4 linked regions of the Saccharomyces cerevisiae S288C genome follow. The gene in region 1 interacts genetically with each later gene. Each region holds a gene or a part of one and is shown in the gene's direction. Other genes may lie near its edges.

What was found.
Region 2: mutations in MAL12 (region 1) and SMA1 together harm fitness more than expected from each alone (negative genetic interaction), as found in Saccharomyces cerevisiae (one large-scale study listed by BioGRID).
Region 3: mutations in MAL12 (region 1) and LCL2 together harm fitness less than expected from each alone (positive genetic interaction), as found in Saccharomyces cerevisiae (one large-scale study listed by BioGRID).
Region 4: mutations in MAL12 (region 1) and LSP1 together harm fitness more than expected from each alone (negative genetic interaction), as found in Saccharomyces cerevisiae (one large-scale study listed by BioGRID).

What each region holds. Positions count from the first base shown.
Region 1 is NC_001139.9:1,074,970-1,078,889, forward strand, and holds MAL12 (alpha-glucosidase MAL12), read left to right. Parts: upstream 1-1,629; coding exon 1,630-3,384; downstream 3,385-3,920. Other genes in the region: MAL11 (alpha-glucoside permease), read right to left, coding at 1-844.
Region 2 is NC_001148.4:497,651-500,918, forward strand, and holds SMA1 (Sma1p), read left to right. Parts: upstream 1-2,014; coding exon 2,015-2,752; downstream 2,753-3,268. Other genes in the region: ATP-dependent RNA helicase SUV3, read left to right, coding at 1-69; ERG10 (acetyl-CoA C-acetyltransferase), read left to right, coding at 446-1,642; putative serine/threonine protein kinase SKS1, read right to left, coding at 3,025-3,268. UniProt on the Saccharomyces cerevisiae protein: Involved in spore and ascus formation. Required for the efficient assembly of the precursors of the prospore membrane to a continuous prospore membrane.
Region 3 is NC_001144.5:344,817-347,495, forward strand, and holds LCL2 (Lcl2p), read left to right. Parts: upstream 1-1,768; coding exon 1,769-2,164; downstream 2,165-2,679. Other genes in the region: DNA replication initiation factor CDC45, read right to left, coding at 1-1,125; tRNA splicing endonuclease subunit SEN2, read right to left, coding at 2,231-2,679. UniProt on the Saccharomyces cerevisiae protein: Probable component of the endoplasmic reticulum-associated degradation (ERAD) pathway that acts upstream of HRD3 and USA1.
Region 4 is NC_001148.4:550,058-553,644, reverse strand, and holds LSP1 (lipid-binding protein LSP1), read left to right. Parts: upstream 1-1,987; coding exon 1,988-3,013; downstream 3,014-3,587. Other genes in the region: ESCRT-II subunit protein SNF8, read left to right, coding at 1-18; ULA1 (Ula1p), read right to left, coding at 237-1,625; AEP3 (Aep3p), read right to left, coding at 3,339-3,587. UniProt on the Saccharomyces cerevisiae protein: Together with PIL1, main component of eisosomes, structures at the cell periphery underneath the plasma membrane that mark the site of endocytosis.

The sequences.
Region 1 (3,920 bases):
CAAATGGCAATTTATAGCCCAAGTCGGAGTTCCCTAAATTCTCTTGTGAGTTTTTCATAATACCAGAGGCGAAGATTTGACCAAATAACCAACAAATGTTGGAGTAACTGGTCATGTAATATCTTAATGCTAAAGGGCAAACTTCCGAAGCATAAGTAACAGCCAAACTTTGGAAACAACCCCATGGTATAGCTGAGAGAATTTGTCCCACAGCAATCATAGCTAAACTTTTACAGTAGTAGAGGATAAAGATATAAGCAGTTAACAAACCAAGTGCTGTAATCATCGTATAACGATTCCCCATAAATTCAACCATATAAGTCGTGATTTGCAAACCAATCATCTCACCACAAAGGACACACATGTTTAAACCAATCTGCCATTGGGAAGTAATTTCGTAAGAACCCTCCCCGTTCAAAGTACCGAATTTTCTCTGAAAAACTGGCAGGGCATACAGTGCGCTCAGTAGTGCGGTATCATAACCTTCCATAACCAGGGTAGTAGACACTAATATGGACCACAGGGCTGCTTTTGGATATTTTAGCAACGCCTGCTTCAAAGTCATGCTTTTTTCCTCGCTGTTAGCTTCATTTGCATCATCAGTAGCGTTCATCTCATTAATCACATTCTCGTTATCTTCGTCAGAATCTCCTAACTGGGCTGAATTGGTGGTGAACTCTAAGTGGTCTAGCTCAAAGGCACTATCCTTTTTCCCTTCTTCAAAATCTTCAGTATTGAAAACCTCCTGTTGGTTTACAATATCTCTTGAAGACTCAGAAATGTTTTTATCCTCATTTTTTGAGGCAGCCTTCTTCTTGCTTACCAATGAAATGATATTTTTCATATTATACTATTTTTTTAGTTGTTTGATGTTCTTCTATGTAGCATCAGAAAGAAACACCAACCCGAAAATTCTTCAAACAATCAATACCAAACCGCTTTATATAAAAAATTAAGATGTCGACATTCCTTATTTTTTACTGAGTTCGTTAAAGTTGGGTACACTCTTGATTACTGTAATTGTCTCTGTATGTCCCTCAAGCCCGGTACGTTGTCATTTTCTAGTACGCATCAACGGAGTGTTACATGATAGATAGACCGAGTAGAATCTATGGCTATGGGGTAATTAAAACCTTAAAGCTCCTTTCGCTGCCATAGTAATACGAATAGACCTTGGCTATAGTAAGTTGCATCTGTACCGTAGAGATTCTTGCAACTCGCTTAAACTCTCGCTTTTAGATAATATTTCTCCTTATTGCGCGCTTCGTTGAAAATTTCGCTAAACACGGGGTTTAAGTTAAAGTTTACAGGATTTATCCGGAAATTTTCGCGGACCCCACACAATTAAGAATTGGCTCGAAGAGTGATAACGCATACTTTTCTTTTCTTTTTTTAGTTCCTAGCGTACCTAACGTAGGTAACATGATTTGGATCGTGGGATGATACAAACAACGTAAGATGAATAGTTCCTTCCTCAATTCTTCTTGCAGCATCATTTTCTTGAGGCGCTCTGGGCAAGGTATAAAAAGTTCCATTAATACGTCTCTAAAAAATTAAATCATCCATCTCTTAAGCAGTTTTTTTGATAATCTCAAATGTACATCAGTCAAGCGTAACTAAATTACATAAATGACTATTTCTGATCATCCAGAAACAGAACCAAAGTGGTGGAAAGAGGCCACAATCTATCAAATTTACCCAGCAAGTTTTAAAGACTCCAATAACGATGGCTGGGGTGATTTAAAAGGTATCACTTCCAAGTTGCAGTATATTAAAGATCTTGGCGTTGATGCTATTTGGGTTTGTCCGTTTTATGACTCTCCTCAACAAGATATGGGGTATGATATATCCAACTACGAAAAGGTCTGGCCCACATATGGTACCAATGAGGACTGTTTTGAGCTAATTGACAAGACTCATAAGCTGGGTATGAAATTCATCACCGATTTGGTTATCAACCACTGTTCTACAGAACACGAATGGTTCAAAGAGAGCAGATCCTCGAAGACCAATCCGAAGCGTGACTGGTTCTTCTGGAGACCTCCTAAGGGTTATGACGCCGAAGGCAAGCCAATTCCTCCAAACAATTGGAAATCTTTCTTTGGTGGTTCAGCTTGGACTTTTGATGAAACTACAAATGAATTTTACCTCCGTTTGTTTGCGAGTCGTCAAGTTGACTTGAATTGGGAGAATGAAGACTGCAGAAGGGCAATCTTTGAAAGTGCTGTTGGATTTTGGCTGGACCATGGTGTAGATGGTTTTAGAATCGATACCGCTGGTTTGTATTCGAAACGTCCTGGTTTACCAGATTCCCCAATTTTTGACAAAACCTCGAAATTACAACATCCAAATTGGGGGTCTCACAATGGTCCTAGGATTCATGAATATCATCAAGAACTACACAGATTTATGAAAAACAGGGTGAAAGATGGTAGAGAAATAATGACAGTCGGTGAAGTTGCCCATGGAAGTGATAATGCTTTATACACCAGTGCAGCTAGATACGAAGTCAGCGAAGTTTTCTCCTTCACGCACGTTGAAGTTGGTACCTCGCCATTTTTCCGTTATAACATAGTGCCCTTCACCTTGAAACAATGGAAAGAAGCCATTGCATCGAACTTTTTGTTCATTAACGGTACTGATAGTTGGGCTACCACCTACATCGAGAATCACGATCAAGCCCGGTCAATTACGAGATTTGCTGACGATTCGCCAAAGTACCGTAAAATATCTGGTAAGCTGTTAACATTGCTAGAATGTTCATTGACAGGTACGTTGTATGTCTATCAAGGTCAGGAGATAGGCCAGATCAATTTCAAGGAATGGCCTATTGAAAAGTATGAGGACGTTGATGTGAAAAACAACTACGAGATTATCAAAAAAAGTTTTGGTAAAAACTCGAAGGAAATGAAGGATTTTTTTAAAGGAATCGCCCTACTTTCTAGAGATCATTCGAGAACTCCCATGCCATGGACGAAAGATAAGCCCAATGCTGGATTTACTGGCCCAGATGTTAAACCTTGGTTTCTCTTGAATGAATCTTTCGAGCAAGGAATCAATGTTGAGCAGGAATCCAGAGATGATGACTCAGTTCTCAATTTTTGGAAAAGGGCCTTGCAAGCCAGAAAGAAATATAAGGAACTTATGATTTATGGTTACGATTTCCAATTCATTGATTTAGACAGTGACCAGATCTTTAGCTTCACTAAAGAGTACGAAGACAAGACGCTGTTTGCTGCTTTAAATTTCAGTGGCGAAGAAATTGAATTCAGCCTCCCAAGAGAAGGTGCTTCTTTATCTTTTATTCTTGGAAATTATGATGATACTGACGTTTCCTCCAGAGTTTTGAAACCATGGGAAGGTAGAATCTACCTCGTCAAATAAAATTAGTGCCGGCTTTTTTTTAGCGCGTACTTTAACGAAATAACACATGATTTTTCACATGATTTTTGTTAGATAAATTTTTTATATGTAAATGATGATAGCGTAAAAGCACTGTTGATAATTTGTTTCACCATTATGGGTAAATGTGTTTTTCTACATGACCCTCGTTCATTATGATATTTAGCGTGTATATAAATGTGAATTCCAAATTATTAATGAGGCATAAGAAGCACTATCCTTTCTCTTCGGATGAAAACAAGGGAGAAGAAACCTGTGCTGGTATTAATGCTGAAATGTCTTGCTAAGAATCATACAAGGTGGTAGTTTTATTTAATAAAGAAAAGAAAAGGACTAGATATAAAAAGTGAAATGAATATAAGATAGCGTTAAGAGATGTCCGCAGTACTTGACACATAATTTAGCGTTTTCTCGGGAAGCTCTGTGATTTTATGATTCAATAACACAGCGTAATTGATTTCGTGATAGTTCGATCCTATATGTAATCTCACGTAACACTCAGGCGAGTTACAAAATCG
Region 2 (3,268 bases), on another chromosome or scaffold:
TACGCACATAAGCCCTTTGGTTCTACAAGAGGTCACCTCTCATCTTCGAGAAGAAGATTGCGTACATAATCTACGATATATCCTGTAAATAGAAACAGCTACACTGCTTGAAAGCCTTAACATGATACATTTCTGGTATGATGCCATTGTTGTGCCCTGCCGGGTTTATCGTTTCCTAACAGGCACGTCACTTATAACGAGGTGCCTGTCGTTTACCGCCCAAGCCGGTTTTTTCGCTGGAGAGTACGGTACTACTAGCCCACCACACGTTCGTGGCCAGGTTGATAGGCCACCGTTGAGCAAAGGGCAGTAAAATATATAAAAGAGGAACAAGCGCTTCCATTAAGAGCACTGCTAAGCCTACTCGTTTTCTAGTTCTCTGAAAAAAGGTAGCCTAAAACAAGCGCCATATCATATATATTTATACAGATTAGACGTACTCAAAATGTCTCAGAACGTTTACATTGTATCGACTGCCAGAACCCCAATTGGTTCATTCCAGGGTTCTCTATCCTCCAAGACAGCAGTGGAATTGGGTGCTGTTGCTTTAAAAGGCGCCTTGGCTAAGGTTCCAGAATTGGATGCATCCAAGGATTTTGACGAAATTATTTTTGGTAACGTTCTTTCTGCCAATTTGGGCCAAGCTCCGGCCAGACAAGTTGCTTTGGCTGCCGGTTTGAGTAATCATATCGTTGCAAGCACAGTTAACAAGGTCTGTGCATCCGCTATGAAGGCAATCATTTTGGGTGCTCAATCCATCAAATGTGGTAATGCTGATGTTGTCGTAGCTGGTGGTTGTGAATCTATGACTAACGCACCATACTACATGCCAGCAGCCCGTGCGGGTGCCAAATTTGGCCAAACTGTTCTTGTTGATGGTGTCGAAAGAGATGGGTTGAACGATGCGTACGATGGTCTAGCCATGGGTGTACACGCAGAAAAGTGTGCCCGTGATTGGGATATTACTAGAGAACAACAAGACAATTTTGCCATCGAATCCTACCAAAAATCTCAAAAATCTCAAAAGGAAGGTAAATTCGACAATGAAATTGTACCTGTTACCATTAAGGGATTTAGAGGTAAGCCTGATACTCAAGTCACGAAGGACGAGGAACCTGCTAGATTACACGTTGAAAAATTGAGATCTGCAAGGACTGTTTTCCAAAAAGAAAACGGTACTGTTACTGCCGCTAACGCTTCTCCAATCAACGATGGTGCTGCAGCCGTCATCTTGGTTTCCGAAAAAGTTTTGAAGGAAAAGAATTTGAAGCCTTTGGCTATTATCAAAGGTTGGGGTGAGGCCGCTCATCAACCAGCTGATTTTACATGGGCTCCATCTCTTGCAGTTCCAAAGGCTTTGAAACATGCTGGCATCGAAGACATCAATTCTGTTGATTACTTTGAATTCAATGAAGCCTTTTCGGTTGTCGGTTTGGTGAACACTAAGATTTTGAAGCTAGACCCATCTAAGGTTAATGTATATGGTGGTGCTGTTGCTCTAGGTCACCCATTGGGTTGTTCTGGTGCTAGAGTGGTTGTTACACTGCTATCCATCTTACAGCAAGAAGGAGGTAAGATCGGTGTTGCCGCCATTTGTAATGGTGGTGGTGGTGCTTCCTCTATTGTCATTGAAAAGATATGATTACGTTCTGCGATTTTCTCATGATCTTTTTCATAAAATACATAAATATATAAATGGCTTTATGTATAACAGGCATAATTTAAAGTTTTATTTGCGATTCATCGTTTTTCAGGTACTCAAACGCTGAGGTGTGCCTTTTGACTTACTTTTCCGCCTTGGCAAGCTGGCCGGGTGATACTTGCACAAGTTCCACTAATTACTGACATTTGTGGTATTAACTCGTTTGACTGCTCTACAATTGTAGGATGTTAATCAATGTCTTGGCTGCCTTCATTCTCTTCAGGCTCTATTAATTTTAACCGTTATAAGTTCCTTTTCTCCCTTGGAAGCAAACATCAACTGCCTTAAAATCTGGTGGCGAGGAAAGAGGAAATGGCATGTACTAATGATGGTCCTAATAAATATCCCGAAATTGTGAGTGTTAAGCACCTGTTCCAACATTCGGGATCCAAGCATGAATTTAGTGCTGGTAAACGATTTTCAAAATCCATTGGTAAAATATTCAAACGAAACTCTGCTTTGAAAACTTCTAGAACTGAAACGGCAAATCATAAAATGGAATTGAAAAAAAGAGAGGGTGTTACCTTATTGCCACCTGTCCCAGAATCATTATTACATAAACTCAATTCTTGGTTGGAAACTTTTTCTTCCACCAAGAACATGAAAATCGAAGAAAACAAAATTGTTATTAATGAAAAAGAGATTCGGGATTCAGTCTCTTACTACCCTGATAAGAATGGAGGAAGTGCTGTATTTTGTTACTTGCCCGACCTTGTGCTATATTATAAGCCGCCTATAAAAGTCACAGGCAAGCAATGTCCAATAAAGAGAAGTCCTTGGGAATCGATGGAAATCCAATATCAAAAGTTTATGTACCCCTTAGAAAGGTTGGAAAGACAGTTTGAGGAAGTTCCATTTAGGCCCTGGTATTTTGCAATGCGATTAAAGGAACTTTACAGATGCTGTGAAAGGTCTTTTACTAACGCGGCAAATAGAGGAAAGGCAAGGTTATTGCGGGGGAAGCAAAGGACGAAAAAATCGTATCATAAGACTGTCAACCTGGTATCAGCGAAGATTTCCACCCATTCAAATGCGCCGTCGCCGGGCTGAGAAACAAAAAAAGTGACTAAGTTCTGTCATTCTATCATTATTGTAATTAGTTATGTAGGACATATATATCCATAGTGATCTCCTTTTGATCAAAGAAGACACTGAAAAGTCGTAAGTTCGTAAAAAAAGTATGAAAATCGTTCCAGCCATTGCTTATAGCCATCCTAGTAGGATACTAGAAAAAAAACAAACCTCAAAGATAAAAAGAAAAGGTGAAGCTATTACCGAATTAGAACATAAGATAATACAGTGAGTATAAAGGTGAGACCTGCTCAATAATCTGGTAACCATTTCTCGTTTGGACCGTCTGTTAAAGTAGAAAAATTCATTTGTAAGCATAATAGCCTATTTCTTAATGTATCTTGTTGGAATTTGCAATCTTTGGAAGCACTAACGTCATCGATATCAGATTGGTAAGGTGTACTGTCCATTGAGGAAGTTAAAAAGGTACTATTATTGTGGTTGTTAGTGTATTCATACTTTTCCATACTTCCGTCACTATTATACGTTGATGGA
Region 3 (2,679 bases), on another chromosome or scaffold:
TTCTTGTGCAGTACTTAATGGTATACCCATTCTAGCAAACATCTTATGCAATCTCTTTTTCCCATTTTCATTCCATAGGGATAGTTTGGCATTGACATAGTTAGAATAATAAAAACTGTCGTACAATGAAGAATGCCTCAGTAAGAAAAGGTAGTAATCCGGTTGGATGTTTAACGTCAATGTATCAGGGGTCTTTACTGAGTTTCTACTGCTTGGTGTGAGACGCTTCACTTCATCTTGCAATAAGGGGTATAATCGATTGTAAACTTGAGCATATGCTATATCTAACGAGGTCGTACCAAGTATATTCAACCACAGGTTTGAAAGATTTGTTTCTCCGATAGCAGACAATAATGAATAGATTTGTGCAGATATCGAGTTAACCACTGTTGTGCCTTGAGAATAGTATTCCTCCAAAACACCTTCATATTCATGGATTTGCTTCTTTCGTTGCTTTCTTTTTGAGAGATCATTCGGTCCTATTGAAGAATTACCTCTTTTATTAGATATTGTCTCATCTTCGTCTTCTTCGTCCTCGTCTGTGACTTCATCGGCATCAGTTGCCTCATCGTCACCCCCATTATTATCGTTCTCGTCACCTGAGAGCTCATCGTCACCACTCTCCTCGTCCAGTTCAAGCAATTTATAGTATGCTTCTTTTTGTTCGCCTAATGTGTCATCCACCGTACCGTCGTCAAAACATTGGATGATTTGTGATCCAAATATATTGTCGAGATTCCACGGTCTATGAGCATCCAACACGTAGATGTCTCTCCTGAAACTTTGTTCCCCCGACTTTTCATCTGTATCGATAACATACTCTTGGGGATCGATTTCTAAGAAAGCCTCCAGATCAATAACGCCTCCAAACCCTACTAATAGCAGACTATTTATATTGTCATCCAATTGAGAATAGTGGCGTCGTAATTCAGAGTACCCAAATATCGGTACTATTTGAGATTGTACCAATTGTTTTTTGAATAATAGTGACAACATCTTCGTCGCACACAGCGCATCGATGTTAAGACAAGAAACGAAAATGACCAATTGACATGATGAATGAGACGATGAATTCCTTAAGATTTTGTTGTAGGCTTCGCTAAACTGGCTGATTCCATAATACATGTGCGAGAGTATATTCTTGTTATTATGTGCCTTCTCTCTAGTGTTTATTGCTACACTTTTATTGCTCTATAGTGCGTTGTATAAAGTAGCCACAATGGATTGTTGGCATTACTACAGCTTCATTATTTACTGAAATTTCTTAAAACGCGTTAGATGATATGTTGAAAAAAAAATACGCGTCGTGAATGAAACTTATTAGGTTTTACGACTAGTTAAAGCAAGAGAGAGAAGATCGAATTGACTAAATGTCTTCACTTTGAATTTATTCTAGTAGGATTCGCATGGCTTTTTCATAATAAAAATCTCGTTTATTTATGCTTTTGGTTGGTTTTCCTTTGATAAATGCGGCCCTTGCTTTGTTTGTGGTTGCAACGAGTTCGTCAAATGATAAATTGACGCTTAACACAGACGCATGGGAACCACGTAATTGAATTAATGTTTTCTTCTCGAAACAATTGCAATGTGACTTTCTTGTTAGGCAATGTGAGATGAAAGATGGCCTTTACCTTTGCAGATGTTTGGGTGTGGCTCTGAGCTGTCCTTTATAATTATAGAGATAATTTTGATGAAAGCTCAGAAGACCTTTAATGACGAAAAATAGGCATGGTTTGCCAGGCAAAAAACGACCAAATTTTACTGTAGTATGAGTCAAAGTCGCTGGAGTATCGTTCTCATCTTTGCATTGTTTATTTTTGGCAGCACTGGAGTGAATGCCTTCTTCAATTTCGGTCATCATCAGCAACAGCAACAGCAACAGCAACAATCATATGAAGATCAAGTTTTAAATAACCCTTGTGATGGGTATTTGTGTCCGGACACCCTAACGTGCGTTGCACAGCAGAAAGACTGTCCTTGTCCCTTCCCTAAATCTCAGTTGAAATGTGTCCTTCCTGATAATAAATTTGTTTGCATATCCAAACCAGCCACACACAATGAAAAGTTTAGAGCAATATATGATGACCCTGTCAAGGGCCCCAAAGCAAAGAACAAGGGGTTTAGGGATTGTGGATGGGTATCAGATGCTTACAAAAACCATTGAAATCTGTATAAAAAATACATACACATACATATATACATACGAAGGATTTATCTTCTCATTGATATTCTAGTCTCTATTTCTTCCGGGAACCCATCTCTTATACAATACTTCACCAACTTGAAAACTATTGAACAATTTAGTAAAGTTGTTTGATTTCCATAGTGCTATCGCCTCCTGTTCCGAGATTAGTCTCTCCACGTAGCATAACACAAACGTCTTCTTTGCGCCGCCCACAACACGGGCTATGCTAGAATACCACGTATAATCTTTAGAGACGTCGTGGTCAAGACCCATAACACAAAATTCAGCGTGTTGAAATGGTGGCCCTCTCTTATATAATAAATAATCGCAGCCGAATTTTATACCAGATCTTACGCACCAACCGTGTGATCTGTAGTGATGGTATATAACGTATGATCTGACAAAGGAGTGAATATCTTTATATTTGGCATCGAATTGAAACAGTTTCCCTGCCAGGCACGCGGGAGATATGTCAAGAACAGGAAGTGCAAAAG
Region 4 (3,587 bases), on another chromosome or scaffold:
ATTACGAGGCAACTGTGAGATAGTTGACTTGAACAGGAATGGTGGATGAGCGTTAAGTATTTATCGATGTTGTATTTTATTGAGCACAGTTCTTACCGGTGATCTCTCGTTGTTGTAAACATTCGATATCATATGCATCATAAAAGTTTACATTTAGTCTTTATTTGCATCAACGCAAACCAGGGAAGTACAATAAAATAAGCATTCTATGAACTCGGAGAGCTGACGAAAAAATTTTATATTTTATATGTTGCGGATGAATTATTAATGCCATTATATAAAAATAGGTTATCAATAGGAACGTAATGGTGTGTGATAAGCTTTATAGCCTCTTGAACCACTGCACCTCCAAAAAAGGCCATTACGGAATAGTTATCGTCGACTCGTAAACCAATAAACTCATCTTTATCCTCTGCAGTTACTGCCGGTTGCTCCCAGAATTGGACCATAACTAATGCATCTAAAAGGGCATTCGAGGTGCTAAAAATACCTAACAAGTCACTTTTTGGCGGCAATATTTTCCTGACCTCCCCGTAATGAGAACAAAATGTCTCCAAGACATCCTGTGAAACTATTTTTTTACTGCGAGCCAAACTTTCCTCCACACGAGACTTGTCAAGCTTTGCTTTTACTTCATACAGTTTCTTGAGTCTGATATAATTTTCCGTTGTTGACTCCATATCTGGGAGAGTGCCCGTTAAAGGTTGAAAGCTGAGCTCCCCATTCTCTTTAGCAATATTTTTCAAAGTCAATAATAGTGTGAGAATCTCGTAGTTATAAGTATCATGCCAATCGTTCCCATAATCTGATATTTCCAAATTTCGGAGCAGATCTTCCAGTTCTTTACAACAATCATTTTGAGAGCAGGCCAAGTAAGCATAGCGTTTAGCTTCCACATAATTGGGTTCGTAGATAACATCATTCCCTAAAGGAAGGCAAATTTGGTCTAAAACTTTCTTCATCTGATCAATCGTTATCCTCCCATTATTACCATCCCTTTCAAGTTTTGCAATACACTTCATGAGCAAAACAGTATATGGAATACCAGAAAACGTGGCTGTATCCATTTTACTTAGGTCAAATGTATCTACGTAATTTATTAGTTCAGGCCAAGGGTTCTGTAACCGTAAATCATACTTCTTACTATCTGGGTGTGCTTGCAAAACAAAATGTGTTTCTGAGAGTACCAGATATATATATCCATAAAATCCAGAGACGAAAGTGTTTAGAACAGGCGGAAACTTTGTTCCTCTCTGCCGCCTAATCTCATTTAAATCGAGCATCGCAGTTTGCTCACCAATACAAGTCAAGATCACCACCGAGAAGCGGGTCCAATCATACTGAGGTTGCTGTAACGTCTTTCTAAGGTCATTTTCCTCATATTCTAGCTGTTTAGAAGCCAATGGCTCAAGATCTTTTTTAAGCTCTGCTAAAAACAGAGAACCCGATTGAACTGCACACTCTACTTTGAGCCAAGTAAGAGATGATATTCCGGCAAGCACCAGATTCTTAAAAACTTCCTGCAGCAAAGGTGTAGCAGGTCCTACCACGCACACACGGGACCGGTTCAAACTATCTTGGCCCAATGCTCCCCATAGTCTCAGCTGTCTATCATATCTTTCCATATTTTCATCTACGGCTGTCTAGTTGGCCTAAGAAAGAAAGAGAGGCGACTCATTTTTTTGACGTCAATCGTCTGACTTGTCCTTCTATTTCATTGCTAGGCTAGAAAGCTTAGCTCTTACAACCCCGCTCGTTGCAGCCGAGTGAAAAGGGGATTGCGAAAGGCGTTAGAGGGGATAAAAAGGGGCCCTTTAAAAAAAAGACGGAAAAACCGGGAAGATGCAACGGCTAAATCGCAATATATAAACAGGTGAGATAGAAAAGAAAAAAATCAGTTAACCTCTTTCCTCAATTCCAATGCTTGACCGTAAATTCTCTTTATTTGGTATACGAAAGATTAAACTTTCAAAGCTCCAACACAAGAATGCACAGAACTTACTCTTTAAGAAATCAAAGAGCTCCAACGGCTGCTGAGCTACAAGCTCCTCCACCACCACCATCCTCAACGAAGTCCAAGTTCTTCGGAAAGGCCTCTATTGCGTCTAGTTTTAGAAAAAATGCGGCTGGTAACTTTGGGCCAGAGTTGGCTCGTAAATTATCTCAATTGGTTAAGACTGAAAAAGGTGTCCTTAGAGCTATGGAAGTTGTTGCCAGCGAACGCCGTGAAGCTGCAAAGCAACTGTCTCTATGGGGTGCTGACAATGATGATGATGTTTCCGACGTAACCGACAAATTAGGCGTCTTAATATATGAGTTGGGTGAACTACAGGACCAGTTCATCGATAAATATGATCAATACAGAGTCACATTAAAATCAATTAGGAACATTGAAGCCTCTGTTCAACCTTCGAGAGATCGTAAGGAAAAGATCACAGATGAAATTGCCCATTTGAAATATAAAGATCCTCAATCAACAAAAATCCCAGTTTTAGAGCAAGAACTAGTTCGTGCCGAAGCTGAATCTTTGGTTGCGGAGGCTCAATTATCGAATATCACACGTGAAAAATTAAAGGCTGCTTATAGTTATATGTTTGATTCATTAAGAGAGCTTTCTGAAAAATTTGCCCTGATTGCTGGATACGGAAAGGCCTTATTGGAGCTGCTAGATGACTCTCCTGTCACTCCAGGTGAAGCTAGACCAGCGTACGATGGCTATGAAGCTTCTCGCCAAATTATTATGGATGCTGAATCGGCCTTGGAATCTTGGACCCTAGACATGGCTGCAGTCAAACCAACTCTTTCATTTCATCAGACCGTTGATGACGTCTATGAAGACGAAGATGGTGAAGAAGAAGAAGAACCTGAAATCCAAAATGGAGATATCCCCGGTCAAGTAGTCGAAGAAGAGGAAGTTGAATGGACTACTGAAGTTCCTGTAGATGATGAAGCCCATGAGGCCGATCATCATGTTAGTCAAAACGGTCATACCTCCGGTTCTGAAAACATCTGAGTTTTTTCTAATAATTAATATATTCGAACCTTTCTATATTGTGCTTGTTTTTCACCAGCTCGTGTCTACCTATTATTAATTTCATCTGAATTTGGTTCAAGTATTGTTCGGCCAATATTCCGGTATTGTAATCACCTTTATAATTAATTGAACAAATTTTATAAGACCTAATAATTAACCTTTCTCTTGTTCTCCTTTGCCGTAAGAGATTCAACTTTTCGAAGTCTAATTAAATGAATATGATCTATGAAGTATATATGTACAATAAAAATGCCTATATTAATAAAATTCCTGTCCAAATGCCAGGGCACTTATGCCTCCCTCATCAAACCTCCCCAACTATTCTCCTCTTTACTAGCTCTTTTTTGAAAGCTACATCATTGTCTTTGATATACGCCATTCTTTTTTCCAAAGCAGCCTTTGTGGCTATTGCTTTAACCCGATTTCGATATTCTCTTTTTTTCTGGGAAATGTTTGAGGGTAGGTTTGTGGGCTTCTGATGATCTTGTGCTGTATTGGTGCAGCGTAAAGTAGTGGGGATACAACCCAAAAAACGTAGTATTTTTTTTTGTGA